Linked DNA regions of Struthio camelus. The protein of the gene in region 2 interacts with the protein of the main gene of each other region in a pairwise test. Links are inferred from orthologs where the notes say so. Each region holds a gene or a part of one and is shown on either strand. Other genes may lie near its edges.

Region 1 (15,928 bases), on a different chromosome or scaffold from region 2:
CCCCCGGGCCCCCGGGCCTCGCCTCGCCGCCCGGCCGGGCGGGACGCGGCGCTGCGGCCCCGGCCCGGCTCCCCCCAGCGCCACCCCCGCAGAGCGGCTGGTGCGCTCCCTCTCGCACTCGGCCTCCAGCATTGGGAGCGCTGAGGGCCGCAACGGGGGGACGGGAGGGGGAGAAAAAGCACCGCAAGCGACTCTTTCGCAGCGCGCCTGGGTGTAACAGGTTCGCGCTCAGAGGGAGGAGGTATCGTGCTCGTATCTGAGCTCCGCATCCCAACGGCTTTTCAAGGTATCTCGGGAAATGCTGCACTGTGACACATTGACCAGTCCCATCAGATGCGCAACAGGCAACCCGGTCATTTGTAGCGAACAGCATGAATGGCAGACTACAGAATTATATCGGCTGTTTAACACTTATTATTGAGAGTCACAGACGAACCATCAACATTTTACTGAGTTTAAATTAAGCTAATCTTTAAACACCTACTGTAGGAAATGTAAAACCAGACGCAACCAGTGTTCCCTGCGTGGCCTATATATAATTCTCCCATGCTGGGCTGCAATTTGCGATTATAAAAACTTTAATGGATGAATAACTACTATCTGTATTTAATTCAGGCTAAAACTGTGCTTTAATTAACCCTCCACGCCTCCTGGAATTTCTTATCCAAAATAAACTTGGCCCTTAAACAAATTCAACGTGCTAGACAACATTGAAGCTCCCCCCTCCCCCCGTCTCCTCTAAAGTGACGCCCTATAAAGTTTTTCCTATTAACAAGAGGAAAAGCACTTGCGGCTAGGGGTGAAGGCCACGAAGAGCCCTTTTAGAGGCCGCGCATCTTACTCGCGGAGCTGGTGGAGCAGCGCGGAGGCGCTGGAGACCGCCTGTCCCCCGCCGCAGCGGCCGGCTGCCCGCGGCCGGCCCGCCGTGACCCCCGCCCCGCGGCGAGGGGCGCAGACGCGCCTGGCCCCGGGAGCCGGTGCTCGGCCCCGGGCCCCTCTCGCACCGCTGCAGGCCGCGGCATCGTCCCCACCGTCGCACTGAAATCCCACTGCTGGGGGGAGCTGCACTGCGGCGAGAGCAGAGGGAGACTTAAGCAGGCGCTGAAGCTACGCGCGGGCTTAAGCGCTCTGCAAGCGCTGCAAGGGAGGCCGCTCCCAGCTGCCTGTTCAGAGAGAAAAACCGAGGTTTCCTCCCTCCAAGCCGCCGCCCCGTCCTGCAGAGCTGGAGCTGGCCGTGGGGCAGGCGAGCCCCAGCGCCGCACGCTCCCCCGCGGCCTGGGGGCTGCCCGGTGCCCGCCGTGCCCCGCGGGTCGGCCGGCCCGGGGGAAGGGGGGTGCCAGGCCGGCCGCAGCCCTGCGGCTGGGCGAGCAGCAGCCGTCGGCGCCCGCGGCTGCCGGCCGGGCCGGGCGGTCCCCTCGGCCGCCGGCGGGTGTCGCGGCGCCCAGCTCCTGCGGCCGCGCCCGGCTCGGCTCAGCCGGCGCCCGGCCAGGTGGGCTGAAGCCCCTCGGTGAGACAGGCGGACCCTGGGCGCTCGAGCAGAGGCAGCACCGGGGCAAGCCGCGAGGAAAACTTCGGAGTCTTTCGCTCCACCCAGAAGGGGAGAAAACAAAAATCCAACCCCAGAGAAGATCAAAACGAGACGAAGAGATTTTCCTCCGGACACTGGGGGCTGCGGAGCCCGGGATTATTCAAACGAGGCGGCTTGCCCAGTGCCTGAGTCCGCATGTGACAGGTGCCTCTTTCGGAGCCCTGGCGCGCAAGTGGGTAGACGGAAACTTGGAAAGGGGGGCCCAGATAAATGCCGGGGAAAACCAACAACAAACCGTCGCAAGTGCCAATGCAAGATACAGGCTCAGCTGCAGGAAAAGGGCCCCCAGGCGCGGAGGCGCCCGCAGGCTGCGCAGGGCTGCGCGGAGCCCAGCCGCACCGCCAGCCCCTCCGCGCCCCGCGCCGCGGCTCTGCGCCGCCGCCGCCGCCAGCACCGCGGCCCCGCGGAGAGCAGGAGCCGTCCGGGAGCGGGGCCCAACGGGGGTCTGAGCGGCCCCTGCACCTCCGCCCCCGTCCGGGGAGCTTGCGAGTGCCTCCTTCCCCCTCAAAGGGCTCTAAAAAAGCCTGACATGACACATTTCAGTTTTAAATGAGCCCAATCCGCGCCTTAAAGCCTCCCGCTTTGACATACGTGCGCAGCCGGCAGAAGGGTAATAAAAATCCAGTTTACTTACGTGTCATAATTGTCTCGGAAGCCTTTTGCGAAAGGGTTGTGGTCTATTTTCAGTTGTGTGATCTAGAGAAGCAGAGGACCAGAACGCACGTTATGAAAGCCCGAAAAATACACCCGAGTACAGCCAACACATTTTTTTAAAGCACCATGCAATACTCTAAGTCGATCAAATGGCCTCTCTTTGAAATGTGGAAAACAAAGCTTTAGCATGCTTTCAGAGATCAAAGTCGAATTTTAAGATTTATTTTAATCTCCCAAAATTACGATAAAAATTACTATTTAACTCAATGTTTTCAGAAATGTAGTTATTCGTATTGCATGGCGCTGAATACACTTAAACCCAGAAACGAGGGAAAAAACGTATCGCAGAACGGTAGCTAAGAGTTTACATTTGCGTCTACCAAAATAAGTAAAGCAAAAATGTGGACCGAACATATGTTAGTTGAAAAAAAATAGAGGGCATAAGTCTATAGCAAAAACAGATCACTTCAAAACGTAGCCATACATTAACGAGATTTTAATTTGAGGAAGTTGTGCCATCACCCCCAGTGCAGGCAATGAGGTTGTTAATTGATTTTTGCAGGTTTTAAAGCTTAAGCTCTACCAGCTAACTGAGCTGTTCCCGACAGGAAAATAAAATCCATAGATAAATATCGGGCTCTAGTTTTAGCAGTCTAAACGCCAGGAGAATTTCCGCTTGGCCTCTCAAGGAAGCTGCCAGCTCGGCAAGGAACAGCCCGCTCGGGGGGGGTCCCGGCTGCCGGGAGTCTAACGGGAGGCTATCCGGGGAAACGCGAAAAAGCGCAGACATCTGCAGCCGGCAGATCGCGCCTAGTATTCGGGAGCCGCGAGCCGCGGCGGCGGCCGATGCAAAATGGCAACTTTAAGGCCGGAGATAGGAAGACCCATCTCCGGGCGCAGAAGCCCCCGCGCGGGGCGAGCGCAGCGGCCGGCCGGGCCGGGCCGAGGTGCCCCGGCCGCGAGCGAAATAGACCAGGGAGCTCTTTACATCGGTGTTTTGGTAGGCGGTGACGGCTATGAACTGGGTCTCGGGGAAGGTGAAGGTCTGCACTCTGCCCGGCTGGTTGGTATCCTCCGTCCCGTCTTCGTTCACCTCCACCACATGCAAGCGGGGTTGGTATTTGTGTAGGGACTGCAAAACCACCATCTGTCAGGCAAAGAAAAGGGAGGGAGGGGGCCAGGGAAAGAAGAGGGGATTAGAGGGAGAAGGACGGGAGCCCGGCGCGGCGGCGGAGCGAGCCGCTGCCGCGGGCGGCGAGGCGCGGACCCGCCGCCCCAGGACCCGCCGCCGCCTCCCGCGCGGCTGCCGGCTTCCCCGCGACATCTAGCAACGGAGTGAGACTGGGCAAGGCACTTAGCGCCTGCAAGGCCATTAGCAAAAGAAAAGAGGAGGCTTTATCTACCCGCTCCCCGTTTTTTTTTCACCTAACAACATGATCTATGAAAATACAGGTCGGAACGAAGACTGCAGGATTTTGTCTAAAGCAACAAAAATAAGGCTTGTAGAGCATCTGCTTTTCTGTCACTGACCTGCCCGTTGTTGTTTGATGCTCCTTTATTGTTTGTAAGTTTTAGTTTCCCAAAGGAGATTTCCTGACGCATCCAGTGGGCACCCGTGTTGGGGGAGTCGGGGTGCATGTACACACGATTTCCTAAGCAAAACAACAAAAACACCACCACATCACAGTTCACCCGCATAGCCCAGTTCTGCCACTGCAGCAGAGCACGGGGTCTAATGACCCCATTAAAGTTAGCAGCATTTTACTGCCGAAACTCCCTCCATTTTAGCCGACCAGGATTAAAACAGTATTTTCCGAACACCTTTTACTGTCTCCTCCACCCCTCCTTTTTTTTTTTTTTTTAAGGCATCATTGGCCCATTCCCGTTTAAGAAGTCGCCTGAGCCAGTCCACAAAGGCTTTAATTAATCATTCTCACCTACATATGTGTCGGGAAAAGTGTTAATTGGAGGAACTTGCCTTGTACATTGGTGTCCGCCTTGCCGCAAGGAACCCATTTGCCTCCCTGAAATCTCCAGTGGTTGGGATCCGCCAAAATTACATCCACAAAAATATTGTAATGAGCCGTGGGATCGAGACCAGAAATATTAAAACTTAGGAAAGGGAACATACGCCTATTGAAAGGAGAAAAACAAAAAAAAAAAAAAAGGAAATCCACCACCAGCGATACATACAGTGAGGAACCAGCCCGTTGTGCATTATCCTCAGAGCGTCTAGGAGCGACCGGGAAAAAAAAATCAAAAAACTCCCTCCCCGAAACGTCGAGCTTTCCATGGGGAAGGGACGAGGGCAGCGGGGAAGGACACCCTCCGGGAGGCAGCGGGCGCTGCCCGGCAGGCACCGGCGCCGGCACAGCGGGCGCTCCCGGCCCCGCCGCAGGGGCCCCGCCGCGGCCCCGGCGGCTCCCCCGGGGCGGCGGCACGGCGGAGCCCGGCGGCTCCCCCGGCAGAGCCCGCCGGCTCGGCCCCGTCCCCCGCCGAGGGTCCGCGCGGTGGCTTACCTCCCCTGCTTCGTGATGATCATCTCCGTCTGGTGCCGGTGAAATTTCAGCCAGAGTGGCCTGTTGCACAGGTAGACCTGAGCCTTGCCGGGGACTAGCCCCGGCTGGGTGGAGGAGAACTGGTAGAAAGGTGCCCCTTGGTAGGAATGGCCATACTGCTGGGGGTAAGGGTAGCCCGCCGTGGGGTAGCCTTGCGGAGAAGAGTTGGACAGGAGGCTGTTATAAGCTCCGTTGGTGATCACAGGATGGTGAGCCATGTAGCGGCTGGGGCTGGCGATGGAGAAGGCTGGGTGTGCAGGTCCATGCTGGCTGGGGTACGGGAACATGGTACTAGGAGCAGAGGCAGCAGACTGGGGCTGGCTGGACTGAGAGAGCAGATAGCGATCTGCAGCAGATCCATCGAAACTGTGACGAAGCTCAGAGACCCCGTCCAAGACGGGAGAGAGTTTATTTCTCTGGACGTCCCCTGGTGTGTCCTTGGAGTCAGGAAAATTGTCTGTATCTGACTGATTCGTCATCCCCCTGGTAATTTTTTTCAAAGGTGAACTTCTCTCCAGGTTGTCAGTGGTCGAGATAATGGGATGATCATGCAAGGCAAGCTCAGATCCGCCTGCATGTGGGTAACTGCTGCTCACATTGAGAAATTTCTTGGAGAGCATGATAGAGGGAGAAAGACAATGCTCCAGCTGCATAGCTCTAGCACCACAGGAATAACCCTTCAGTCCCTGGTTCTGGAAGGGCTCCTTAGTATCAGAAGCTAGACATCCTGGGACCCTCACTAGACAGAAAGCACTTCATCCACCAAATGCTTCCCAAACGTTTGATTTACTTTTTTTTTTTTTTTTCCCTGGGAGAAGAGATTGGCCAATTGACACTATGCAGCAATCAGGAAAGACTCACTTTTGATCTTGCTGCTTGTGGAGAGGATGAAACGGCTTCTGCCATTGGTTAACCGCTGACAGTAATTTAATTAGATAGACATTAATTAGGATAATCACCTGGCTCCTGGTCGCGACGATCATGGCAAATTGAAGGGGATGATTTTATTGTGAGAGAGAAGGAAGGCGAGGGGGGAAGGGAAGTGTGTGTTTGCTATAAGGGCTCATTATTACGTGACCTTTCTTTTTTTATTTTATTTTTTATGGCTATGGCTGGGAAATAAACCCGAAGCCTCACATTTCCCCAAATACTGCGTGTGTGCCCCTTTGTGCAGCAGAGACGAGACCGGGTGCTGCGGACCTCGGGCACCCGAGCGAGGCGCGGCGTCGCTGCCCGCGGGGCTGCGAGGGGCAGCGCGGCCGCGGCCGCCGCCGGCCTGGCCTCAGCGCCGCGCAGCACCGCGCCGCGGCCAACAGCCCCCGCCCGCGCAACTCCCCCGCCCCCGTGCCCGCTCCGCGGGGGGAAATAAAACGCCCGTCCCCATTAAACTGCGGGCAAGCTGCCTCCGTTCACAGCGACAACGTATCACCTCTTTTAAGTTCTGAAATAATTATAAGCCGTACCGCCGAAGTGCCCTAATGTATTTGCCGTGATGTTTACGGGTTCTTTAGTAAATAAATATTTTATCTGCGTGCTGTAATGCCGGAGATTATCAGCAAAACACCGTAGAAGGCATCCATCTACCCATCCAGCTCCAGATTTCTTTCCACTCGATGTCTGTTTTCCTTCAGTGACTCCATCACACAGACAGCGCTAGGAGAGGAGAGATCTTTTGTAATAGATTTGTCATAAGCGATTACCTCGCCGCATGGAAACGCACTGTCGGCTGCCCAGACGTCTCTTCCCAGGGAAGAGATTTAGGACGGCAGGAGAGAAGCCCAAACCGTTTCACCGCCACGCGGAGCCGCCAGCCCCGTCGGACTCCAGGCGTCTCCGCCAGAGCCGCAGGCCGAGCCTCGGCGCCCGGAGGGGGCGGCGGGGCCGTGGAGCCGCGGGGCCCCGCGGCGGCGGAGCGGAGCGGAGCGGGGCAGCCCGGCTGGCCGCGGCGGGGGCTGGGGCCGGAGCGGGGGCGAGGCCCGCGCACCTCCGCGCAGCGCGGACCCAGCCGCGCCGGCGCTGAGCGGCCCCCGGCCGCCCGCCTGCCCCCAGCCCGGCGGGCCCCGCGCCGTGTGCCTGTGAGCTCTGCGCTAATTGAAGGCAGGATCCTCCGCGGGGTGAAGATATGCCAGGAGAGCTGCACGTCCCCCCGGCCTCTGCTATGCCTCCTGAGCATCGGCGTCCTCGATTTTCCTTTCCTAGGCAAGCCTATGAGTTTTAAAAGCACTGATTTTTGCCGGGGGAGGTGCTCTCTTGCTGCATTTTTGTTAATATTTTCCCCTTAGCTGGTGGGACTTCAGATATTTTGCAGATCACACCTCTTTTCAGTTCACACCAGCAGCCTGATTCAAATTCCACTGACGGCCCATGCAGCCTGGGCCATCCCGTGACAAAATCAAACCCAAAACGTATTCAGCTGAAGCCACACTGAAACTCTGCAAACTCTGCCTGGGACTTCTCCCAGGTAGAACCCAGATTGCTTTTCAGAACGTGCATTTCCACACTTGCAAATCTCATGGCAATCTAATAATTTTTTTCTGTTGCTTAACTGTGATCTAGTGCAGTTATCTGGCATTTCATGGAAGCCTGTCATACCTGCTCTCTGCAAAGAAATTATTCTAATCATCTTTTATGAAGCAGAAGCGAGCACAAGTTTACTCGTTTTACTCACAGTCTGTTGGTACAGTGCATGCGACCTCCCAAACCATACCTGCTTTCAGTGCTAAGAAAATAGTTTTATCAATAGCAGCATTAACTACTGCTTCTGACACTTGTTTCACTAGCGTTTCCACCCTTGCACTCCCCTGCTTGAAACTGATTGAAAGATAATGGATTTAGATATACAGGCAGGAGATGGGTCAAAACACAGATAAACACTGGGAAATGCTGCCCTAAATTACATAGCTAAACCCATATACATGCAGAGCTGCAGTGAATTCAGTGGTATACTGCCAATCACATGGAAGTGTTAATATATGCCAAAAATCTTCAGTGTGCACAGCTCCTAAACTGGTATAATAGGTGGATATGCAATGGCAGGTGGTGTTATAGAATTGTCATAGAATGAAGGAGAGGGGCTTGCTAATACAATATGCCAGTCCTGCATGCTGACAGGTGACGAGGGGTCAAGCTGTTAATGAAGGTCTGCTCTACTGTGGCTGGAGGCTCAGAAGGTGGCTGCTTGGAAACCTCTTTCTTCCTCCAAGATGCTATATGGGCTGTTGCTTTTCAGGTTACTGCATGCATGCACACTTCCAAATGCTCTGTGTATCTCCCAAAATACCAGGCAAAAGGAAGAAAGATGCCCCAAACCACAGCCTTGTGGTTATTCACGCAACATCTTTGTAAAGGGAAAACTGTGCCTCCAAGTCAAACCGCGCACTGGACAGAAAGCAGAGTACTATAGTGCAAGCCCATGCTACAGGACATCTGCTTTTCCTCCCAGATTGCCTTCAGCTACCCCCTGCAAGATGGAAAATTGTCAAAACTAACTTAGAACGCGTAAGGCTCGCTGATTTGGCTCCTGCTTACACTGCCCTTCCATACATTGCAAGAGCTGCTCTCTTGGTCTGCGATGCCACGTGACTTAAGACCTGTCAAGGTACACATCCACCTCACACAGCGATGCGTGTGTGTGGATCTAGCGGCACTGCCACAATCTAGTGGCAGTGGAGGCCTCCTGCAAGACAATATCCAGGTGCAGCCCCCAGGTGTTGCCCCATCTTACCCTTGGATGCGGGTGTACCGCGCTCCAGGCAGCTACAAGGCCTGAGCGCACCCTTGCTCACCAGTGACATGGTCTTCGGTGCAAGTTACCAGAAAGCACTTCCACTTAAATAGATGGAGCTTTTTAAGCAAACGTAGCTTATGTCTCCATTTTCCCCGTGTCATATTCTATTGCATACTAAGGGCAGCAGGGGGAAGGCCATAAGGAGGGAAGCTGAAAAAAAAAAAATCGGCATTTGTTTCCCTCTGAAGTAAATGCATGCTAAATATACTTTGAGCCAGTTATTTGAAAATAGTAAATTGGCCTAAATATGAAATTCCAAACAAAAGGAAAATGTTTGAATTGTAATGAACAATAAGCAGAAAATTACCGGACACAATTTACAAAAATAAGACAAAATGTTATGGGTTATTTTTCACTATGCAAATAATGAGTCAAATCACTTAAAAATCATCTTTAACAAAACGGGATGTATGTAGCAGTTTTAAAATGATCACATGCCTCAATTAGTTCAGCTTATTAATTTTTTTTTCCAGTAGGTAAAAAAAATACTGTGCATGAACAGAAAGAGAACACTCCTGATCAGACTAAAGAATCAAATCAGCCTAATCATCATCCAATACTTAAAAAAAAAAAAAAAAACACACACACACACACTCCCCCAAACCTTGTTACTTGGCTTTGTCTACTTAAAACCCAACAGTCAACCCATCCACCTTCCCATGTTTCCCTCTCTAGTCAGTGGAAAGGGGTTTAAATGTCGCATTCCAGTTGGAACTCATACATATATGTATGTGGACATCTTATACACCTTCCCTCCTGTCAGGCCTGCTTTCAAAGGATAATCTGATAATCTAGAACAGCCTCTGCTATTTTAATGTTTATTCTTGGAAAACAGCTATTTATGACCCTGTTTGTGAGAGCATTGTGCAATTTGGTTATCAGCATAGTTGAATTCATTTTCTTAAGGCCAATTGTCTTCTGTTGATATTATGGCTTGAACAATATTAAAAGGGAACTGTCATAGCAATTTTCAGTATTTTGTTTCTTATGTCCTCTGAATTCAGTGCTACTACAAATTTGTTGTGTCAGTAAGAGTATTTGGTAAATGGGAGGCAAGTTTCATTTGAGAATTTTTGCTGTCCTACTAATTAATATCTCAGTAGTTTTACAGTAGATGGAAAAGTCAAGATTTTACCTGCACAGCTTTCTCCTACACCGTTAATTTCCGACTTTCAAAAAAAAGGCCTTCCAGAACTTAAGATAGGTTTGTAAATGTATTTTTATTATGCTGCAACAATCAAAATATATATGTCCTACTGATTTCCCCCCCCCCAACCCCATATTAAATGAAAATGTAATACATTTTGCCCGCAATGTGTTCTTGAATTGCTTTGGAATCTGTAAAGACCCTGACATAAAGAAACCGAAGCAACTGCACAATTAAGAGACTGAAGGTGTTATTGTGCTGCACTTACATTGCAAATGAAGTCAGATGTCTCTGTTTAATCAAATATAGCCTCAACAGTCTCTGGTTTGTGAGTATTAGAAACAATAAACAAATATACACAGAAAACATCACAAACAGTAAATTGGTTATTTAAATACAACTGTATCCAACATAGCAGCTAAACATTGGACAATGTTTGAGGTCATCAGCACATCCACATGCTCTTCTAAATGACGTTTGGGGTCCTGAAATACAAAGTATGCCATGAGACAAATGACTAAAACATATCACTGAAGGATTTCATATATTTCAGTTCTATTTAACAAGACTGTGAATTAAGGAACATAGGTTAGTGAAGCTCCCAAGCCTTCCTTTCCAACTAACCTGGCAAATGACTGAATTTCCATAAGTAAGATTTTATTAGTCCTTATTGTCATTCAGAGAAGTTGCTGGATAGAAATTTATTTCCTAAAACTATCCTCATCTGAAAAGAAATCCTGGCAGCTGTAAGTTCTACAGGATGGCACAAAGTATTTGGAATTGTCTCCTCAGTGTTGGTAAAGCTCTTATTAATTATATTAATAACTATCCAGAACTTCTGTCTGCCAGTGGTCTCAAATTTAAGAGGTCAGGTCCATTAAAGCCAAAAAAACCCATACAAAGTAATTCGGAGTAAAAAATACTCTACTGGTATCAACTAGCTATTTCAATGTGCTAAGTTTGGTATAGTAGTGCTCTGTGAAATTGCCAGTATCTAGATATGGATATGTTCTTGATGCAACATGAATGCAATAAAATTACATACCAAAAACTATCTAATCTACAAAACATGAGAACAAGTACAAAAAGCTCTTCAAAGTTATTCTGGATTAATATTTCAATTGATGTATTTACACAGGTATTTCCTGGGAAGAGAAAAAAAAGCAAAAACATGTGGAGCTGGAATTAATACTTCTTCAATGTAAATCAAAATATATACCACAAAGGTTTACAGGCTGATATACCCTTATTGTAAATCAACTAAATAAGGCCATATGAAATACTTTAATAAAATTTTAGATGAAATCCTAATTCTGTGCAGGTCAATGAGTATTTTAGTATGCACCTTAACAAGGCCAATGGTTTAAACCTAGTTCTGGTATGGCGCAACATATTTTCAGATCCTGTACAAATTTGTGTTCTAATCCTGCAGAGACTCAAACAATCTAACACATAGTCTTTGAATAGTCTTATTAACTGCAAGAAAATTAACATATTTATTCCTACCAAAAATTTAAAAAAGCCTAATAACTTATTCAAATGTTTTGCAAATCTGAATGCTAAGCCTGAACAACATTTTGAAAATATCCATCCCCACACACTATCACTCAATTGATGTGGGCATTTTTGTGCAGTTGCAAAGAATAATAAGATTATCTCTGGTTGTAAACTTAACCATATTGAGAATTTTTTTCAGAACTGAGTTTAAGTAATTAATCCCCAATAAATACTGAAAAATTTACAGGCACATTTCAGAACAATCTCTAAACTTTATTGTTGCATTTGGAACTCTATCAGAAAAAACTTTTAAAGAGGAAAAAAATCAAAATAAAGATTTTTTCCACATATGCGTAATAATTTAAGTGACAAATGAAGCTTAGGTTCTATTTGAGATGATGTCATAACCCTTAAAATATAGCCCTTCCTACATGTTTTATTATATATTTATGTATGTGTAGGTGCACATAAATACACACACATATGTATATATACAGGTATAATACAGATTTTTTTGGCCATTGTTCTGAATGCTACAGAAATACACGAGTGACTGAACAATACTACAAATACGTTTTGACACAGCTGCCAGAAGCTGACATACAAGAGCAATCCAGAGTCCTTTAAATTCTACTGCTACGAACAATACAATAAATACTGGTTCTTTAAGAACTTTTGGATGTTTTTAAAGCTACATATTGTTTCCATTGCCATTCTTGAATTTTTAAGACAATCTCTTACCAACCTGATCTCTGTTCTCTTCTCTCCCATCACAGTACCTTTCCTCAACTTTTAAATTCAAATTAAATGTAGAAATAGTTTTCTGTCAAGTCCTCTATAAGGATACTGTATCCTGATATTTTGAAGGAATAGATTGGATTGAGTAGGTATTCTCCATTTCAGATATGGTCCTAAACTGTTTTTCCTTCAACAGCAATACAAAGCAATGCAGCTTATGTAAGCATGTACTGGAGCTAAGCATCCATCCACAGTGTAAGCCGAGCACAGAGGTCAGCTGGCTCTTTAGCCGTGATAATGCATAAACCATCCTCCTGCCTTTTTGTTTGTTTGTTTATGTGTTTAAGTCCCCATGGTTTTGGCCTCTCCATAACACTAAAACAAGAGTTAGATATTTTTATGCCTCTCCTTGTACGAAAAAAGAAAAGAAAAACTACCATATCTGAATAGTACTCCTCAGCATGTAATGCATGTAGAACTTGATTCGCAGGTATTCTCCGTATTACCTAAAGTCAAAAGCCAATTGCTCCTGACACAACAATATTCAGCAAAAATAAATCAATTATTTGCAGAGTTGAGAATATCTCATACATAGAACTAAAATCACCTATCCACATGTAAGGAAATTAATATTTAGAATGAACCAAGCTTATCGTTCCACCTCACTCTAATTCATCGCACCTCACCTGCTTGCCAACATTTTTTATTGCCAGCTGTTCAGGTGTCATCTTATCTTCTTCTTCAACAGCCTGTGAAAGAAACACAGAAAAGGTCAGTGTTTCAGAATTCGTTTACTTTTTCCCCAAGCCACAAGATTCTTAAAATATAATTCTCTCTTGCACTCACTCTCTCTCTCAAAAAAAAAAAAAAATCAAACAGCAACACATTTCAGAAAGTCAAAAGGAAAGGTACTTCAGCTTTTCAGCAGACATGGTTTTAATTACTAAGTGTTAGTGCAAAAGATCAAGGGGAATACTCATGAACGGTTTTATTGTCAGATAAGCAAGATGTATTCACCAAACTGATTTATGTTAAAGTCTTAAATGATGGGTATTGATGGTTAAAGATAGTTAAAGCAATAACACGAAAATCAAAAATAATGTTACCCACGTTGTTCCAGCTATTGCAGGTTTCATCTTCAGTAAGTCTTTTTGTACTTTTTGAGTCACCTATTTTAATATATTTTTGTAACGTTCTATTGTCTTCAAATGCAGTGTCCATATAAAGTAAATGGGCCTACTTACCGAGTAAAGGCAATATTGACTTTTGTTGTTTTAAAAGCAAGAAGTTTAAAAAATAGTACTTGTATAATATTAAGAATGACTGACATGCTTACTATTTACAGAGTGCTTGTTGAGACCTAGTATTTCTAAACAAATTTTTAAAGCATGTTAGTATTAAAACAGTACAAATAACTGTGGTTCCTCTTCCTTACAAAAGCAATATTTTCTTTATCTAAAATAACATGGAATTAGGCTCTACAATGAGTAAACGTCTATCCATCTATCTAATGGGATGATATGGATAGACCTTTATTCTACTATGCTGAAGACTGGTCAAGTAGTCCTTGACTGAAGGAACGAAGAATACAATCAATTGCTCACTTTGAGCTACAGGAGCTGTACATTATCTTGGCAAATACAAAATTGATGTGATTATTCCCATTTTAAAGCTCAACATATAAACTTCTTGCTAGTTTAGATTGGAAAAAAAAGATCGAAGAGCTATCCTGGTACTTCACAAAAGTTAATAGGTGATATATAGCTGATTAATAACTTGGGAATACAGTCTCCACAAGGCCATTATAGCCGTACTTGTGCATAATCTAACCAAATCAAGTCCCTCACGAAACTCTTTGCTGAAAACAGATCATATAAAACAAGCATAAAATTCCTAATCCTGAAAACTGGTATGATAACAAGCATCAAGATCCAAAAGAGTTCCTGCAATGATTGTTTCATTTCTATAGTCTAGTCCTTTACAAGTTACTTTGACGATGGTTTGTGACAAATCAACTTCTTACTTCGGAAATTAAATAAAAAGTTCCTTCACTTCATAAACTGTTGCAATTATACTATCGTTACGGGATACCAATACCTTGTTATAATTCTTAGCTAATTCCAACATCTCCTTCACTACAGTTTCATTGAGTTTGCAATGTTCACTGTAGTCCTGAAGTGTCAAACCTTCCATCCAACTCTTCTTATGCAAATTTAGCAACATCTGCAAATAAAAACTGCTTAAAACATGCATCATAAAATACATCCATAATATTATGAAGATGTTTGACAGAAACACAATATATAGCAGTAAGAACATCAGTGAAAAATTACTGAACTCTCAGTGTTTAAATATGGCAAACAATCAAATATTCAGTTAAAGTAGACAACAGATTTCTTCCATAAATTAAGATCAAACTTTTTGAAGCCTGAATATGAAAATGAGGCATAGAAACCAAGGTTAAATTTACTTTGGTAGGAATACTCAGGTCTTGCTTCTGTTTTTGTATTTTTGCTGTAGGTTAAGAAAGCACAACTGCAGTGTAAAAGAGATAATAGGAAGGTGAATATTCTAGCTGCCAAACAGACAGTAGTTGAAGCCTCTGGCCTCTGTCAAATTTGAAAAATATTTAGAAAATTTTAATTGATTAAACACACAATTTGGAAGATATTTAGGCTTCACTGATGAACCTGAACTATATGCAAGCAGCTGTTAAAAGTTGTGCAGCAAACTTTAATAGCAAATGAAACAAGACTTGTATACGTCTGACCAAATAAACAGCCCTAAAAATAACATGATAAAACAAAGTAGATTTTTGATGGTGATAAACACAGGGACTATTAGAACCATATGAAGTGTTTTTATTTGGCATTCTGATGACACTCTTGAAAAGGTGAAGGCTTAACTGTAACGGGAATTTCCTGATTTCCATACATAAAGCAAGCATATTCCACAGATGATCTGCATACACAAGAACTGTAGGGAGGATTCTTTCGGCAAACAGTTTCAGCTCGTCTCCAATTTGTAAACATTTACTATAGAAGCCTTTGAGAACCTATAAACCCTGTAATTCATATTACCTGAATAAAAAAGTGACTTTTTCATTGAACATACTTCTCCCCCCAAAACCTGGCTTTGGATCACATGAACTGAGTTAAAAGTTTTTGTCATAATTTATATTAGCAAGATCTTAGCAACACACAATCCTTTGTAGGCAAGTTGCGCATGGATAGCTTAGCTAGGCTATCTAGATTTTGAATTATGGTTTTGTGATAGGCTCCTCATCTATGAAGGACATGAAGCATGTACTCTTCTTAATATAAATGGAGTTTACAAACCACCATATGAGGTGTTTTTGACATACAAACCTGCTTTATCAGAGACTTGCAGAGATGCTTGCTGCCTCACAGATTCAAGCTCTTATAACTTAGCTAAAATTTTTCAGTAACTTCCAATGGTAATCACTTGCATAACGTAAAGCCTCTAAACCAAATATGCACTTGGAACTTCAGAAAATATTGACTTGGCCAATATTGTGTTTTAATGGAAACAACCTCTGGAAGCTTCATAAGCGCCTCCTGAGGTAGCTGGTTTTGTTGAATCAGTTTCCATATACAGATTAGCAAAAGCTGCTGAGGAACACTGAGGTCCTGACAGTGTGATTTTGTCCTAAAAAGGGCTATGAAAATTCTTCTCAATTCCCTGATCTGCATATATATTCTTCCATGATCCAAAACTGTTTTTATTACTTCTAGCCCCCTAGAAGTCAAAGTTAAGTGAGAAAACTATTCTGACCTGTGCATCATGAATTCCAACTGTGAGATCAACTTGTAACTGTAACGAAGCCATGAGCACGCACAGGCATAACTGAGAACAGAATCTGGCTTTTCAAGCCTTAACTTCAGCAGCTGATAAGCAAGCTTTCTTTCTTTTCATTTTCCTGGTTGAGATTGTAAAGC
Region 2 (15,862 bases):
AGAATACCGAGCCCTAAACACAGTCAATAAGACTTCACTTATTTTATCCTTAACAGCAACACCTGAATAACTAGAACCAAGAATGCCACAGAAAAGAACAGACCTGTTTCAACCAAGAGAGAGACATCTTTATCAGTTTGGTATCCCTTTGCCACTGAGTCTCCACTAACTGACCATCTCTGAACAACAGACTGAGACTACCATCTCCATTTTCCTCCACTAGTCTCTCTGTTTTCAGCATCCAAGTTACTCATTTGATAACAATTCACTCCCTGTACTTTAAGGAAACCATAAACAAAATTCTCCCTCAACAGCTATATGCAGTCCCAGGCAAACCATTCAGATGATACAGGCTCGAAGCCACCAATCTACAAATGATGCTCAAATCTACCTCTCCTTCACCACTTAAAGGCTCAGCAAGGTTTACTGGACAGAGTCAGATCACGGAAGAGGAAGAATTTGCTGAAGGTATATTCAAGCAAAGCAGATATGATGTTAATTAATAGAAAGAAAAAGCTTAAGAATTTACAGCATTAGTAAGGAATATTAATAACTGGACAGTTCCTTTGGAATCAGATACTTTGTTTTCAAAAAGCAACACTACAAGAGCATGTTATTAGCTTGGAGACTCTACACTATGGCCTCACATATTCACACTTTAATAACCTTTTAACTGCACTACAGTAATGCGTATGTATCTGGCTATGAAATCAGTACATCTTCAGAAACCTAAACTGTTATAGAAAGCTGCAGGATGCATCTCCCCATTAATACAAGCTCCTGTAAGCATTTCTACAGTGCTTTTCCACATAAATTGGAATGAAATTCAAGACTTCCATAATCTTCAAAATAGCCAACAGTCTGGGTTCAGGATAACTAACAAACTGCTTAAGACTCTACAAAGAGTATGATAGCAGTCAATAGTTTTAATCCTCAAGTATAATGAAACTTGCTATAGGAAGAATAAAGATCGCTCAACAGACTATTTTATATGTATCTCTAAGAGACTATGAAAAAAGAATTCCTTTGGGAATCAATGACCATTAAAAAAAAAAAAAAAAAAAAACACAAGTAAAACCACTGCCACCTAGAGTCCCCAAAATAAGATGAATGTTTCATACCTTCTTATCTCACAATAAACATACCATCACAGTTAAAAAGATAACATATGCACAAAACAACCATGACATGATACCACACTTCACTTACCAGGGGAATAAAGTGGAAAACAAGTATCACATGCACACAGGTCACTTTGCTGTTCAGATACTAAAGCCATGGTATAAGAACCTACAGAGAATGGGGGACTAAATGCTCAAGAAAAGTACTTTTGAAAATGTCTAGAGGTAAAAAGTCCATTCTGGTCATAATTCCTTTCTCATTACATTCGGACTGCAGCCAACCCAAACCTTTTCACAATTATCTTTTACATTACGAAGAATTACAAGTTATACACAGAGGCCTATCATAATCAGCAAAGACTTGCTGAAGAAGAGGAATCTTTTCAGAGAAACAACTAGAAAAGCAATCCAATCTAGGAGAAACATTTCCTTCTCCTGCTGTCAAAACATCTAGTAGAAAGAAAATATCAAGCTGCAAATATTATTCCAATCCTCATTCAGCTATTTTTATTTCAAAAAAGCAAAGATGTGGGTGAGAAAAGGGCTTAAAAACTAGTAACGCTGTTGTTACTGAAACACCAGAAACTAGTTATGCATTTCTGTTTCTGGGAAGGGAAGCATTCATTTTACCAATGGGCATCTCCCAAGAAATGCTGGAATTCATTCTGAATACAGCAGAAGTTTAGTAAAAGAAGTAATTAATCTCACATTCTAAAACACAGTTCAGTTTACAGATAAGTTGAAGTGAAGGCTCTCTGTTTCCATGCTTTGGATGGCCTTACCTAGGTATCTTTTTACATATTTATGTGAAATATGCAAAGAAAATGAAATGGGTTTCTTGGTGTTCTTTTTGCTGGGCATATTAGCTAACTGCTGCACTATCTTAAGGGGTCAGTCTAACTTTTGAAATGACTTTGAATGAGAATTTCGGTCATGCATATATATTTTCATATTGTATGTTAAAAAATATTATTCATCCCTGGAAAAAAGGAGAATCAGTAAGATTCAGATTTTTTATTACTATTATTAATGGCATAAAATATATACTTTAAACACTAACCTCTTTCAATTATGAAATCAACATTTTCTAGATGGCACACACAACGTGACTACAGGTCTCTGAAAAGCGATCTTTGCAAATACCATATTAGGGTTAATACTGCTCAATTACCTTTCATTATCACGATATCTATACAATGGATTATAAAAAGCCAGATGCATCGGACAGTGGGCTAATTAGGGGAGTGCTTGTTGACATAATACGTAGGTCTGTCTTTCTCCTAATATTTCCTTATCCTTCTTTAAGATGAAGCACTGCGAAGAGAGATGATCATCAGAGATCACTTGGGTCCCAAAGCCTAGACCTAATTACTGAAGTCAACGAAGCTTCATACTATTCTAAAAAAGGATCAAACTCAGCAATTCTTCAAAACAAGGTGGCTTTTTGTCCCATAACTTCTCATACAAATCTGCTCCAGTATCTTGGTAGTAAATTGGCTTAAAAATCTTCTAATTTGCAGTCTAAAATTACTCAGGACTAGTTTGCACGCATTTGCTCATCTGCTATTACCTTCAAGGGTTGCCTTTTCTCGAGTGTTTAAACACAAACATATATTTGCAAAGCTCTTACAATCTTTCTCAGTTCGTATTTTCCTAGATCAAATTAAGTTCCTTCACAGTGCCCTCTTACAAAGCCTCTACTTCCCAGTCATTACAGCCATCTTGTTTACATCATGAGGTTGTATGCAAGAATATAGCAGAAAATGAAACACAAACACAGAAAAGAACGCTAGAAAAAGCTGAACAAGTGGAAAGCAGAGTACTGATAAACAGGTATTCTGCAACTAAATAGTATAATTCCATTCTGCTTAGTTACAGTTGGAGAAAACTTCATAGGCAGAGATAGGTCAATATCACAGTTAGAAACCTTATCATAGTACCTTAGCTAAACAGATATTCTAGCAACTAGATACTTCAAATAATCTGTTAGTTTCCTAAAGCAATAACGTTACTATGACCTCATGCTTAAACCAAATATTCATTGCAACTTGTTCATCCGTTCATCTTAAATGCTTACTTTAACACAGAAACCAGTTGGGAATATGTTTTGTTAGTACACTAGTACTTTAGACTAATAAGAAATTCAGTAGCTAAATTAGACCTATCACTTTCCATACTCCCAAAAAGTTCCCTTCCTTCTCTCTCCTTTCCAAACAGTGAGTGCATACTGCAGTTGTTTCACGTTTTCATCTGGCTTGTCAAAATTAAACCCATCTGTTATTTGCATCCGTTTTACAGGAGATGCAAAGCTTCAGTAGTGTCCTAGAGAAAAAGCATATTTGGGGCACAAGAGTACTCCCACTCTCCAGCAGAGAAAATGGAGGCAACGATGATGAACAGCATCACCAAAAGCATCAAACTATTTCTATACCGTTTTGTTATCACAATACTTAAAGTTATTAGCACATGTCTTGGACAAGGAATCCATGAGTTCTCTCCTCCCTTCCCTACTCGTTCCTTCACTGGGACATAAATCTAAAGCATCTTCATCTCAAGATAATAGCTCAAGATGGAATTACAGCAACTCTCTTCTTGTATGACCTTACTGAGATACAGGCCTTGAAACTCTAATGCAAAAAAATCCCCTGTCCACTCCTTGCCCAAAGACCTCACTTCCCTCCTCCTACCTGCACACTTCTTGTAGTGTTCCTGAACTGCTGGGAAGCTGGAGAAGACAGGAACATTTCCAGCCTCTAGGTACTTTAGCTCCTCTTGCTAGACAGAAGAGGCCAAGCAGAGAGAATCATCCCATCACTGAGTCAGGAGGGATGAAAACAAACAAAAATTCTCAGCGTTCAGTGCAAAAAAAGGACCACTCTGAATCCAGTCACACTGCAAAGAACACCCTGAAAATTACAGTAGTATTAACATCAATCGTCACAATGTTTGTTGGTACTAAAAATACCAACAATTTCACATATATAGGGTCCAGCAATGGAAAACAAAAGTAAAAAAATTTGCATAACTAAAGAGTTTAAGTGATAGACAAATTATTTCAATTGCGACCAATACCCATTTTAACACAAATATATTCATTTTATCACATAATATTTATAATTTAATAATTTGGTGAGAAACATCCCAATACAAACTACTCTGAAAGCAATCTGCAATTCTACTGTTAGAAAGAGTAGTCTTTACGCTGCTCCCTCAATGCTAACATAAGTCAACACGAATCTTAAGAGGTGCATAAGTCAAAAACAGGTAATATGAAATAAACAGAACAAGGACTAGAAACAAAACTATCCCTACTATAAAAGCCAGTTTTCAGTCTTCTAGATTCAGTACCAACTATATTTATTCCAACTTAAAGACAGACATTCTTTTTGGCGTAAACAAAACTACTGCTATATGCATACACAGCTCCTACGATAAGCTTAGGACAGTTTTAACGTCAGACGAATACTCAGCTCTACACTCACTAAACTTCATGAAATACTAAATGCATTCTGATTAAAAATGCGTATCAAAAATAAAGAAATACATCTAACACTATTATAAACTGTGAATCTAATGCACTGTATGATCAATGTTATGAAAGGGTTCAATATTTTAGTTTGTGTACTTCTCAATCAATATACAGAGAGAGTCTCCTCAAAGGTTGTCCTTAAGCAAGTCTGAAAAAAATGCCATGCCTGCGCCTTACATCACCACCAGTTATCCCAAGACATGTTAACACATTTTCTAAGGGTAGTACAGAAACTTCCCAATTTACTCTTGCTTGAAGTGAGTTTGTGTCAATCAAGTCTGAAGAAAGGCACTAACCTAGAATGCAACAGATCTGGTATAGTAAAAATACATGACTAATGTTAGCATCTCAAAGAATATCACTTAAGTATAATAAAGATTAACAAGAAATTGGGGTTTTTATTCTAACTTTTAACTCTGTATAGCTTCCAGAAATTGAAAGTTATACTGCCAATATAGGCAAAAGAAAATTGCCTTTAAGTTCTTCTAGAGGAAACATGAACTAAAATTTCCCTCTGTTCCTCCTGGCCCTTTTCTCCTTCACCCATTCAAAATGAAAAAGGCATGCATAGAGAACTTAAACATGTGAAATGCCATGTAATAAACAGTTTATCCTTCTGTCATTTCAGTAAATTCATTCATATACTACTACATTGTAATTGTTATACACTCCAGCACACCAGAAGTTATTGTCATTGTGTTTATATAAAATAAGTCCATCACTTGGATCAGTTTATTGTATTTAAAACTGTTAATCTAAAGTTTAAAATAAGCCTCAGCAAACTGGACCACAGAGTTTCCCAGCTGATACTATCTCCCAGAGATTACTTATTTTTTAAAGTCAACAGAACAAGAACTGAGAGATTTCTCTTACAAGTTTGACTACAAAATGATGGAATGTTTAGTCTAAAATCTCTTTCCCACACCCTTTGTGAAAATATCTTTCTATCTATTTAAAATGACAGCGGTAACTACATATTTAGGAAAGATAAATTACACATTTAAATATTTCATGCATCTGAAACGCAAATCAGGGCCAGATATGTTATCTGCAAGAACTGAATTACTGTATCAATCAATAATAAATCACAGAAACATGGAGACATTTAGTTGATGTTTCACTGAAAGATGTTTAGTAAGATGCATATGTAGCAATTCAAAGCAGATTTACAGCAGTCTTCCTCAAGTTGCTTGAAGATGAGCAAAGCGCTACGTAAAAGACACTAAAAACATTGCATCCGTGGTCCCTAGGAAGGCATCCTTCATAGTGCTGCACAGAAACAAGAATATTGCTTAAACAACTGTATATGATACTATGTATTTCTTTCAAATGTTTTTAGAGGACTCACATAACATCTGTGCAGAAGATCATCAGCACTAACAACGAGCTATATAATCCTTCACATCACCACTGCTGCTGTTTTCAGTGACCCACTCTGTTTTTGCCACAGTGCGCTTGGCATCATTATACTCCTCTGATTTAACATTTGTTAGATTGATTTACATCCCAATGCGACCTGTACTACAAAAACGTCATGTGAAACTTCTATAGCTAATATCTAACTCACAGCTTTTGCGCTCTCTCTTCAAAATTCTCTGATCACAAAACAAAAAGCCCTTTGAAACGTGCAGACGTTTGGATCCCTGTGAATGATCCATTCTCTAAAAGGATGTGCAGTCACATTAAACATAACCACTACACCTTCTTCCTAACAGTAGTCAGATATGAATAAAATCAGGTATGCGAACTACAGTGGTTAGCATAAAACCACTTGTGAAATAAATGTGCCAAAAATAATCTTCAAAACACGTTTAATAACAGGGTTTTGTTTCTCTCCTACAGAAGCTCTTCACCAAACCACTAGCATTAAGTTAGAGCAATCACTTCAGTTTATGCCAGTAAACAAGGCCGTTGCAGCTCAATCTCTAGGAAAGTTGGTTATGTTAACAGAAAGCTAATAACCTGTTAAATGACAGAACTACGTGCTGAAACTTTTGCAGACAATGAAGTAACCTGCTAAGTCCAAGACCAGCATTTTAGTATAATTCTGTGGAAAGATTAATTTCAGATTATTTTTTTAGCCCTAACTTTACAAGTAGGCAGCTCTTGATATAGCAATTGAAAAGCATATTGGTGGAGAGTGGACAGGAAAATGTAGGAAGAAAAAATTATTGGTTTAAATTCAAACCAATTATTCTTATAAAATTCATTGTCACGAAGAAAAAACTGCAGACACTCCAAACAGAATCACTATTAGGGCTTCCACAGCAATCTCTGCTTTTGAATCAGAAACATACAGAAAATTAGGAAGTCACAATATTGGTACACCTCTCATGCCCATTTCGCAACACAAGCACAACTACAGAAGACATACAAAAGATGACAAAGAAACATAGAATGGATTTCAAAACTGGAGAGTCACAACCAATGGAGGAGGGGGGGGAATTAGCTTTAATTCTTGATTGTCCCCTGATTTTTGGGATTCTCTTCATTTCCTTGGCGTGATTATACAAAGACTGACACTCGGACTGTCATTTTCATCCACCAATCAAAGCAGTGACCCAAAACGAGCAGCTGGGCAATTCTAGCAGCTACCTCAACTGCTAGGTTTGACACAAGCCTTGAACATTGGTTTAATAGCGGTTGCATAATAAGACTCAAAAGGCCAAGTTCTCTTACTGCCCGATACATCTTTATTTCCACACGGATGAGGGTGGAAGGCAACTGAGCACTACCTGAGTGTGACTAGTACCGCCACTAACAAGCCGGTTATCATGCAGTAAAGGAAAGAGAAAAAAACCCAACACCTGGCGTACAAATACGCAGACGCCCAGTGGATAGGTGGATCCACAGAGAGAGATACCTTTCCTTTCCCTTCCCCAATAGGCAATCGTTGATGGGTGTGCCAGGAACGGGATATAGGGGGGAGGAGAAGAAAAGGGGTGGGAAGTGGTTGCTGCAGCCAGGCTGAGTGATGGTTAGGCGGTTAATCATGGTGGCTGAGGAAACATCGGGTCACTTCTCCCCCTTCCGCCTCCCGCGCAATAAAGAAGGTGGGCAGCGCGGAGAAGGCACTTGTCATGTCACCGCCACGAGCACAAGGGGGGCCGCGGACCCCACACCGCACGCACGGACTCACTGGCGGCGACTCAGGTGGGTGCCGAGCAGAGCATCCCTCTCCCTCCGCGCCCCGCGGGAGGGGCCGGGCACGGCGCTACCGCGGCCCCCGCCGCCTCCTCCCCCGCTCTGCTCGGTCGCGCACACGCACGCCCTGCCCGTCTCCCACTGCCCGCGGGACTCACTTGCCGATCACCTCGCAGAGCTCGTACACGTCCTCGAACAGCACGTCGTCGTCGGCCATGGTCCGGGCGGGGGGGGGATCAGCCCGAGAGGCGGCGGCGGCGCCGGCGAAGGGGGGAGGGCGGGCGGGCGGGCCGCGGGCACGATCCCCGCCGCGCGGCGCGCTCCTCTGCCGCTCAGCGCCAACCGCCACCACCACGGTAAATCCCAACCGCTACAACGGCTCCCACCGCCGCCGCCACCTTCCTCGGGCGCCGCCGCCGCCCGCCCGGCGGCTCCCACGGCCGCGCCGGGACTCCCGGCGCCTCCTCCTGCGGGCCGCGGCCGCCGCCGCTCCCCGCGCGTGTCACACACTCCGCGACCCCACCTTCCTCCTCCTCCTCGTCCTCCCCCCACCCCCCTCCCGCCCCCTCCCTCCCTCCCCCTCTCAGCCGGCTACTCCCCAGCGGCGGCGGGCGGGCGAGCGGGCAGCTCTGGCTAGCGGGGCGGCGCGAGGTCCATGGAGGGGACCGGCACCACACGGCGAGGAGGGAAGAGGGGCCGGCAGCAGGCGGCAGCGCCGTCTCGCTCCCTCGCCGGGCGGGCGGCCGCGCGCTCCCGGCCGGGCGGGCGGGGGGGGGGGGCGCGCGCGCGCGCCCGGAGGGATCGAGGGAGGGAGGGAGGGAGAGAGAAGGATAATAGTGGGAGGGGGAGGGGCGGGGAGTTGCCGGCGCGGCGGTTGATTACGCTCCGAGGCGCGAGGCGCAGAAGCAGCAGCAGCGGCGGCGGCCGCGATAGGCGCTTGCTTTACTGGAGGGCGGGCGGGCGGGCGCGCGCGCGCTCCCAAACACCGTCACGCAAAGCCGCCGCCGCGGCGCGCGCGCACCCTCCACAGGCAGGCCGAGCAGGCGCGGCACGCACGCATGCACGCACGCGGGGGGCTGCGCTCGTTTCCGCTCGCTTTTCTCCCCACCCCCACGCCAGCCCCGCCAGAGTCGTGCGCGGGGCCACGCCTACTGGCCGTTGGGGGCGGCCCGATGTGCGCAGGCGCGGGCTCCGATGACATCATACCGCGGGGAGGGCGGCGCGGCGCGGCGCGGCGCGGCGGGTGGTTGTCAGTGCCCGCTGGTGCGGTGCGGGGGTGGGGGGAGGGGAGTGAGCAGCCCGTCGGAGGCGGGGCGAGCGGCGGCGGCGGCGGGCAGAGGAGAGGAGAGGAGAGGAGGCGAGTGGGCGGGCGGGGTTCAGGTATTAACCTTTCTTATCTTTTAAGCCGCCCCCTCCCCCGTCGTCAGTGTGGGGGGAGGGGGTATCGCCGCCGCCGCCTCTTCCTCCAGCTCGCAGCGAGCCAACGACTGCGCGCGCGGCGCCGGTGGCGGGTGGTGCCGCGCGCGCAGCCGTTGGCCCCGTCGCTGCGTCGCTGGCGCCTCACGCACCGCTCTGCGCGCAGCCGCCGGAGGGAAGGCAAGGGCCTGGAGCTGGCGGGCGCCTCATGTGTAGGCAGGTGCGGGAAGAGAGGAGCGTTTCCCCACTTGCCGTGGGTCGTTAATGCTGTTATTTATGGAAAAGGTGAGGCGTTTCAGCTGCACGCGTGTTCGGTAGGGACAGGCGTCCTTTTTAGTTTTCACGGACTTGGTTGTAGAAATAAAGAACAGTTACGCAGAACGTTTCTAGAGCTTTGTCCAGGTGGAGTGTGTTTTTTTTTTTTCCTACCAGTCTATTAGTTTCAGGAGGATGTAGATATTTTCTGTAGCATAATTTGTTTCCCCTTCGTTATTAGGAAAACAGCCACCTTCTTACTAGTCCTCAAAGTAGTGAATTAAAAGAACTTTTTAAAGAGTGTCCCTAGATGTACTTTTTCTCCTTTGGGCAGATATGTCGTGGCTTTTTTTTTTAATCTTCTCTGAATAACCCTTTAAAAAGAATGACTAGACATTCAGTTAATTGTAAACATAACTTACTTGATACATTCTGTTCTGTTACTTTTGACCCATTAAATGAAATTCTGTACAAAAGATAGACTAAGTTGTTTAGCTGTGCTTTTCCAATGTTTGAATTAGATGGCTTGCAGAAAAAAGCAAAGCTCTTGAAGGAATTATCCAGGAAGTGTTTTGCAGTTTATGGAAATATTTATTTTTGCTGAAGTACTTTAGCACACATGCAACTTCTTAAAACTCATTAACACAAAGGGAAATTATGCATTTGTTTCCCCTGCACAGGAGAAAGCCTGTCAAAGCAAAATTATCCGATGAGATGCTTTAAAGATTAGCTTTAAAATGCAGAACAAAGGACACTTTGGCAAGAACACCTCCTTCCTTTCTCCAGACAAATTCAAAAGACAAATCAAGAGAATCTGTGGAAATAATAGCACGTATCTCCTGCACGGTGGTAGCCTATGCGGTGAGAGACATTCCCGTGAGACTATGCTCTAAGCCATACAAACCTTTATAAAAAATATTAAACATCATCTGCTATTTAGAATGCAAACAGAAAGCCAATAGTTAGATTGTCTACTCCCTGAATTTCACACTGCTAAACATGTAAGCAACTGTCTTTCACTTTTCTGAAGCCAGCACAACCATGTAGTAGTACCCTCACAGTGTTAAACTCAAGAAGTTGCAGAATATGGATGAGCATTCATTTATATTTTGAACAGAAATTGTCATCTGATTATCTGCAGGGCCATTATTAGAAGCTGGCAAGAATAATTGATACAAGAACACTCAAAGAAGAAAAATGCATATTGAAATAGCAGATCCATTCCACAGCTGAGGCAGATGCTTTTTCTGTTCTAGCAGCACCACTTCACAGAGGTCTCACCTTCTGAATGCCGAGCACCAAGAGGTACGCGAGGCTACGTCACCTGCGTTTGACAGACAAAGCCAAACGCTAAGAGTACTAAGCATAGTGCTTATGTGGGGAGCTTCAGGGCAAATTGTTATAACAGAACAAACCCTTTAAGAACCTTGGAGGGCAGCTGGCTCCATCGTGAGATGGCGGAACACGTAAACATGGTTTCCTAATGGAACAAGGTCTCAGCGCAGAGAGAGTCAGAGTCATCGTCCTGGGAAGGTAGTTTCTGGGAGCACACTTAATACAAATGGACTTTCCCTATGATAGGCGATTCGTTCCCTAGAGTCTAGCCTGCTTGAAGGGTCCTACTACCTTTGAGGAAGGAGGATGATGGCTTCTTTTTTACCTAATGGCCTAATTGTTTCTTTGCGGAACAAAATTAAGACACTCTTATTAGAGTGGCTGTGGCATTCATTGCTTGGGCTTGCAAGAAGCAAGACAAAAGTATCAAAGGCTGCAAATATATCAGATCTCCTCGTTTAACAGGAGGAAGACCAAAGCGGGTGCTAACTTTTGACTTGGGTGAAAAGAAAGAATTTGTCTGAAGCAGGATCTAGGATTTATATGCAGATCTGTATTATCAAAAGTTGCTACAAAAATAGCAGAATCAGTAAGGGTATCACTAAGTCAGAAGTTACTACGATTGATGAGAACTATGCGATAATCTGTATCTATGCTAATCTTAGATTCAAATTGATTGGGCTCACGAAAATAAGAGTGTCAGTTTGTCAACTTTGTCAGCAGCAAACTCCCAACAATAAGTATGATCATCCAGGCAATATACATGCAGGTATGTTTGTGATCATGAATTTCATCCCCAAGTTTGAAAGTGGTCATTCCCTTGCCCTTTCACAGGCAGGTGTTAATAATCTTCACCCGAATATCCAATATATCTCCTTGATAGATTTCAAGAGCCACAAGAGACATGGGTTTGATTTAAAAGCTTAAGGTTGAATTCTGAAATACACACATCTGAAATCTCATAAAAAAAGTATATAACAAAATTCTATTTGAAATACAAGCAGAAAAAAACTTTACGCTTGAGACCTGGAATGATTTGCTTAAAAGGATGATGAAAACAGTTCAGCGCATCAGCCATTGCAGGACTGGGAGAGGGATGTACTCACTTCTTCATAGGGAACACAGAAGAACGAGAACACTGACTATTGAAAGAAAAGATATGCTTTATCATCCCTGATTGCCTTCCCCAACCCGCTGCAGGCATTTGCGCTGTTTGTCAGTCAGATTCTGAGCTGCCAGTTTACAGTGTTATATTTTTAGGCAAACCACTATTGTTTAATTCAAAATTTCATGTTAAAGTCGTAAGAAATAGCTAAGTGTGGGTTTGGGCACTAGAAAATCTATTTCATAAAACTTTATGGGGTTTCCAAATTTTTTCTGGCTGTGGCCTTCTTACGGTGTGCCTGTATGTCTGTGAGCCTATATGGCTCACTACTGGTGAGCCACAAAGCAACAATAAGTTGTTCAAAGGTTGTTTATAGAACCATAATTATGAGTAACATTTGATCAGCCTTTATAGTGTTTTCATTTAAAAGCATGCTGTAAAAGGTACATGGTGATTAACATGAAATTCTAGGAGCTGACAGTAGTCTGTAATCCAAAAACTGTAGGAAGCACCAAATTTGATAACCGAGATGCTAAGCATAGTAGTGCTCCTGGTACTTTGATCTGTAACCTGTGTATTTGATCCACTCCCATTATGAGGTTTCAGAATGATATTGACACTAAAGATGAGTGATTAGTGTTAGTGATTCATAAGACAATTTTAGAGGCCTACCACATTTCTGACAAACTTTACCATATTGTTTATGAGTGCAAATTCTATGACCTGACAATTCATAATTTGGGCAACAGAAATGTGTTTAAGTTGCAATGAAAAGAGGTGATAGTTGGATCACGACATATACATTTTCAGTCCTTGTCAAAAATGTCTGTATCAGGAAGATCCTAAAAAGCCATCAACCAACTCTGAATAAGTCTGGATAACTCCTCACAGAAGTATGTAATTAAGTCAGCTTGGAAAGCGAATGTATGGCAGAGCAGTCTGCAACAGCTGAACTCAAAGGTAATGCATTGAACAAGCAGTTCCACACCAGAAATAAGAAGGCCTCCTTTCCCGTGAATGTGTATCTTACAGGTAAATGGTATGTGTGTCTAGAAAAATCTCTCTCTAACTGCATTTTCTCCTTACTGGAGCTTTTCAAGCTCCTCTGCAATGTGAGTTCTCCATTGTTTAATGAAAGGTGAACTTCCACTGCCACCCGTACTCAGTGAAGACAGTAATGAGGTCTCTGTCTTCTCTGCCGTTCCCTATATTCAAAAGACAGTTGAAGCTTATCTCTGGGATTTGTACCTTGTCTCCATCAAACTCCATTGACATTGGCCCACAGGTTCAAAAGTTCTTGGGAAAGGAGAGATACAGACGTGCAAGTATATGTGAACATGGCAAAGGATAAGCGTCTTTTCCTCAGGCAACCAGCTAAGAACTGTCTTTTTTTGTTTTGGACAAAGAATTCTTTTTCAGTGACCTTCAAACAGGGTGACTTCATCACCTTCACCATACTAAACTAGCTACCCAGCTAGAGAATGCTAAGTCAAGTAATCAGCCAGATCTTGGCTGAGGAAGGAGAAGGGAAAAAGTCTGGTTCCTCGTCTGTGATTAGACCGTAGTCGTAATAAACCACTAATGACAGTAACACTACTGAGGACAGTAAACCAAAACTTAGTGAATGTGCCTTGCCTGAACTCCCCATGTCTTCCTGCAGCTTAGATTCAGATTTTTGTAAAAGATGTTGGTGGCTTTTGGTTGTTGTGATCTGATACACCCAGAAAGCTCACAGTTACCTTTCAAAATCAGCTTCCAAAGGTGAAACGGTCCCATATAGGAATAACTAGCAACATAGACAGGAAAACTTAAAAATTGCCTAAGCCCTCACTTAATAGAGTTTCTTTGTTAGCTATTCATTTTTTCCCTTTCTTGTATGCTGTGTACCTGTGAACAATCTGATTCAATTACTGGAGAGTTTAAGGACACACACTTATTTCTCCTCTCCCCAGTTGCAGCTTTTCCTCATTGTCAGGTATGGATTAAGTAATATGAATTGTAGTGGAAATCTCCATGTGATCCTTTAATTGACTTAAAAACAAAGTAAAAAGCTCTTACAAGATGTACAGGGAATAAAAATAGGCAATAAAAACAGGCAATAAAAACAAGTCAAAATTCAGGCCCTCTCTTCAGTATTATCCTGAACATAGATTTGCTACCGTATGCTACAGTCATGCACCTATACACAGAAAAATAGTTTAAAATCACTTCATAAGGAAGACCTCCAAATGCCAAATACAGCATTAAAATAAAAAAAATATATGTTTTCTCCCGTATCTTCCTTTTCTTCTCTCTTGCATTTGTCACTCCCTCACTATCTTTGGCAGAACATAGTAGCTAGGAACTCCGGAAGGACCTCGCAAAACAATGTGTGGGGAAAAAGGGGCAGAGGAACTTTGATGTAGATAAATGGAAGGGAATACTGCATCTAGAGCAAAACTAAATTCATGCCATCTGTATCTGATGCTGAACTTGGAACAGGCAGTTACAGCTCTGGAAGGAGCACTCAGAGTCACCTCTGACAGTTTACTGAAGCCATGGCCTCAGGTGCAGTGGCAGCCGAAAAGTCAATAAAATATTGGGCGTCATCTGGAGAGGCGTGAAAACAGGTGAGTATGTCATATGTCTCCGTTTAAAACTCTGGTACACCCTCAGCTGAAGGACTGGGACAGTTCAGGCCTCCTCCATGTCCAGAAGGACGTAACAGAATTTGAAAAGGAACAGAGAAGGACAACAAAAGTGTCCTGGGGATGGACCACTTCCCTCAACAGGAGAGGTCAAAAGACTAGGATTTACCAGTTTGCAAAGAGATCACTGAAGGGGGATACAACTGAGATTTACAAAGTCATGAAGGTAGTAGATAAGGTGAGTGTAAAACTGTTAATTGCCAAATCCTGCAATACTAGAAGCAAGGGGCACTCGCTGGAACTAGTAGGAAGGCAGTTTAAAGCAGATACATGGGAGTACTTTTTTTTTTTTTTAAATATACATACACACTGGGTAGTGAACTTTTGGGAACATGCTGCCACAGGAGACTGTAGAGACCAATAGTATCATCAGGTTCAAAAAGGGATTAGGCCAATTCAGGAATGACACATCATTACAAACAAATACTAGAAGTAATAGGCAGGGATATGCCCTGGAACATCTCTAATACGACAAGTGCGGATGCTGGGGAAGTAGGAGGGGAAGTGACTGCAGATAGTGGCTAGGCTCTCGTGATCTTCCTAAATAGTATCTCCTACTATCACTGCTCTGTTTTCATTTTTAAAGGTGTAAAGACAGTCCTCCGCTACCACAAAGTATGCGGTCAACTTCTCCACGTTCAGGGAAATCATAAGAGCCAGCACACCTGAAATGCAAACCGTGAGCCTTATCTCAGGAAGACCACGTTAGTGAGCCTAGCGTCTACCCTATTGGGTAAGTAGGGCTAGGCTGACTTATGAAGACATTTCTTATATTCTCAGCCTTTTGGTTCTATCCTGTGCTTCATTTTTCACTCCCAAGGTGCTTCATCCTCTTCCTTGTTACCCAGCTTTTTTCCTTTCCTCCCAATTTTCTCAGCCTATGTTCTTTTTATATCGTGTAGAGCTTCAGAGAAGAGACAAAACTCTGCTCTGCCTCCCCACTTATATCTGTATTTACTTCCTGCTTATTTCTCCCTCTTATGATTTCTCTTTCTGAAATGTTTTGCTGACATTGTATGATTATTCATACCCAAACTTAGACGTTCTTTTATCCTTCAAGAACAAAACCACCTGCAGTTGAAGGAGTTAGTATCGACTTCCCGATGTGGACCTTCTCAAAGTTACCATTGAGTTACAGTTCTTAGATTGTTTGGAGCAGACCTCTGCAATTCAGCAGAGAGAAAGTCCTGGAGGGCAAAGATGTGTGCTTTCCATGTCCCATGAAATTCTATTCAGGTTAGATGGAGGGAGAAACTGGTAGAGTGAAATC

The links.
Region 1: the proteins of CASK (region 2) and TBR1 interact in a two-hybrid assay, tested with the Homo sapiens proteins (2 studies listed by BioGRID and IntAct). The link is inferred for Struthio camelus from reciprocal best matches to the Homo sapiens genes CASK and TBR1.

The regions. Positions count from the first base shown.
Region 1 is NC_090947.1:26,918,701-26,934,628, forward strand, and holds the start of TBR1 (T-box brain protein 1), read right to left. Parts: upstream 6,004-15,928; 5' UTR 5,454-6,003; coding exon 4,762-5,453; intron 4,376-4,761; coding exon 4,221-4,375; intron 3,895-4,220; coding exon 3,773-3,894; intron 3,390-3,772; coding exon 3,231-3,389; intron 2,285-3,230; coding exon 2,223-2,284; intron 1-2,222. Other genes in the region: PSMD14 (26S proteasome non-ATPase regulatory subunit 14), read right to left, coding at 10,121-10,219, 12,656-12,718, 14,067-14,192. UniProt on the Homo sapiens protein: Transcriptional repressor involved in multiple aspects of cortical development, including neuronal migration, laminar and areal identity, and axonal projection.
Region 2 is NC_090942.1:127,535,795-127,551,656, reverse strand, and holds the start of CASK (peripheral plasma membrane protein CASK), read right to left. Parts: upstream 8,077-15,862; 5' UTR 8,012-8,076; coding exon 7,953-8,011; intron 1-7,952. UniProt on the Homo sapiens protein: Multidomain scaffolding Mg(2+)-independent protein kinase that catalyzes the phosphotransfer from ATP to proteins such as NRXN1, and plays a role in synaptic transmembrane protein anchoring and ion channel trafficking.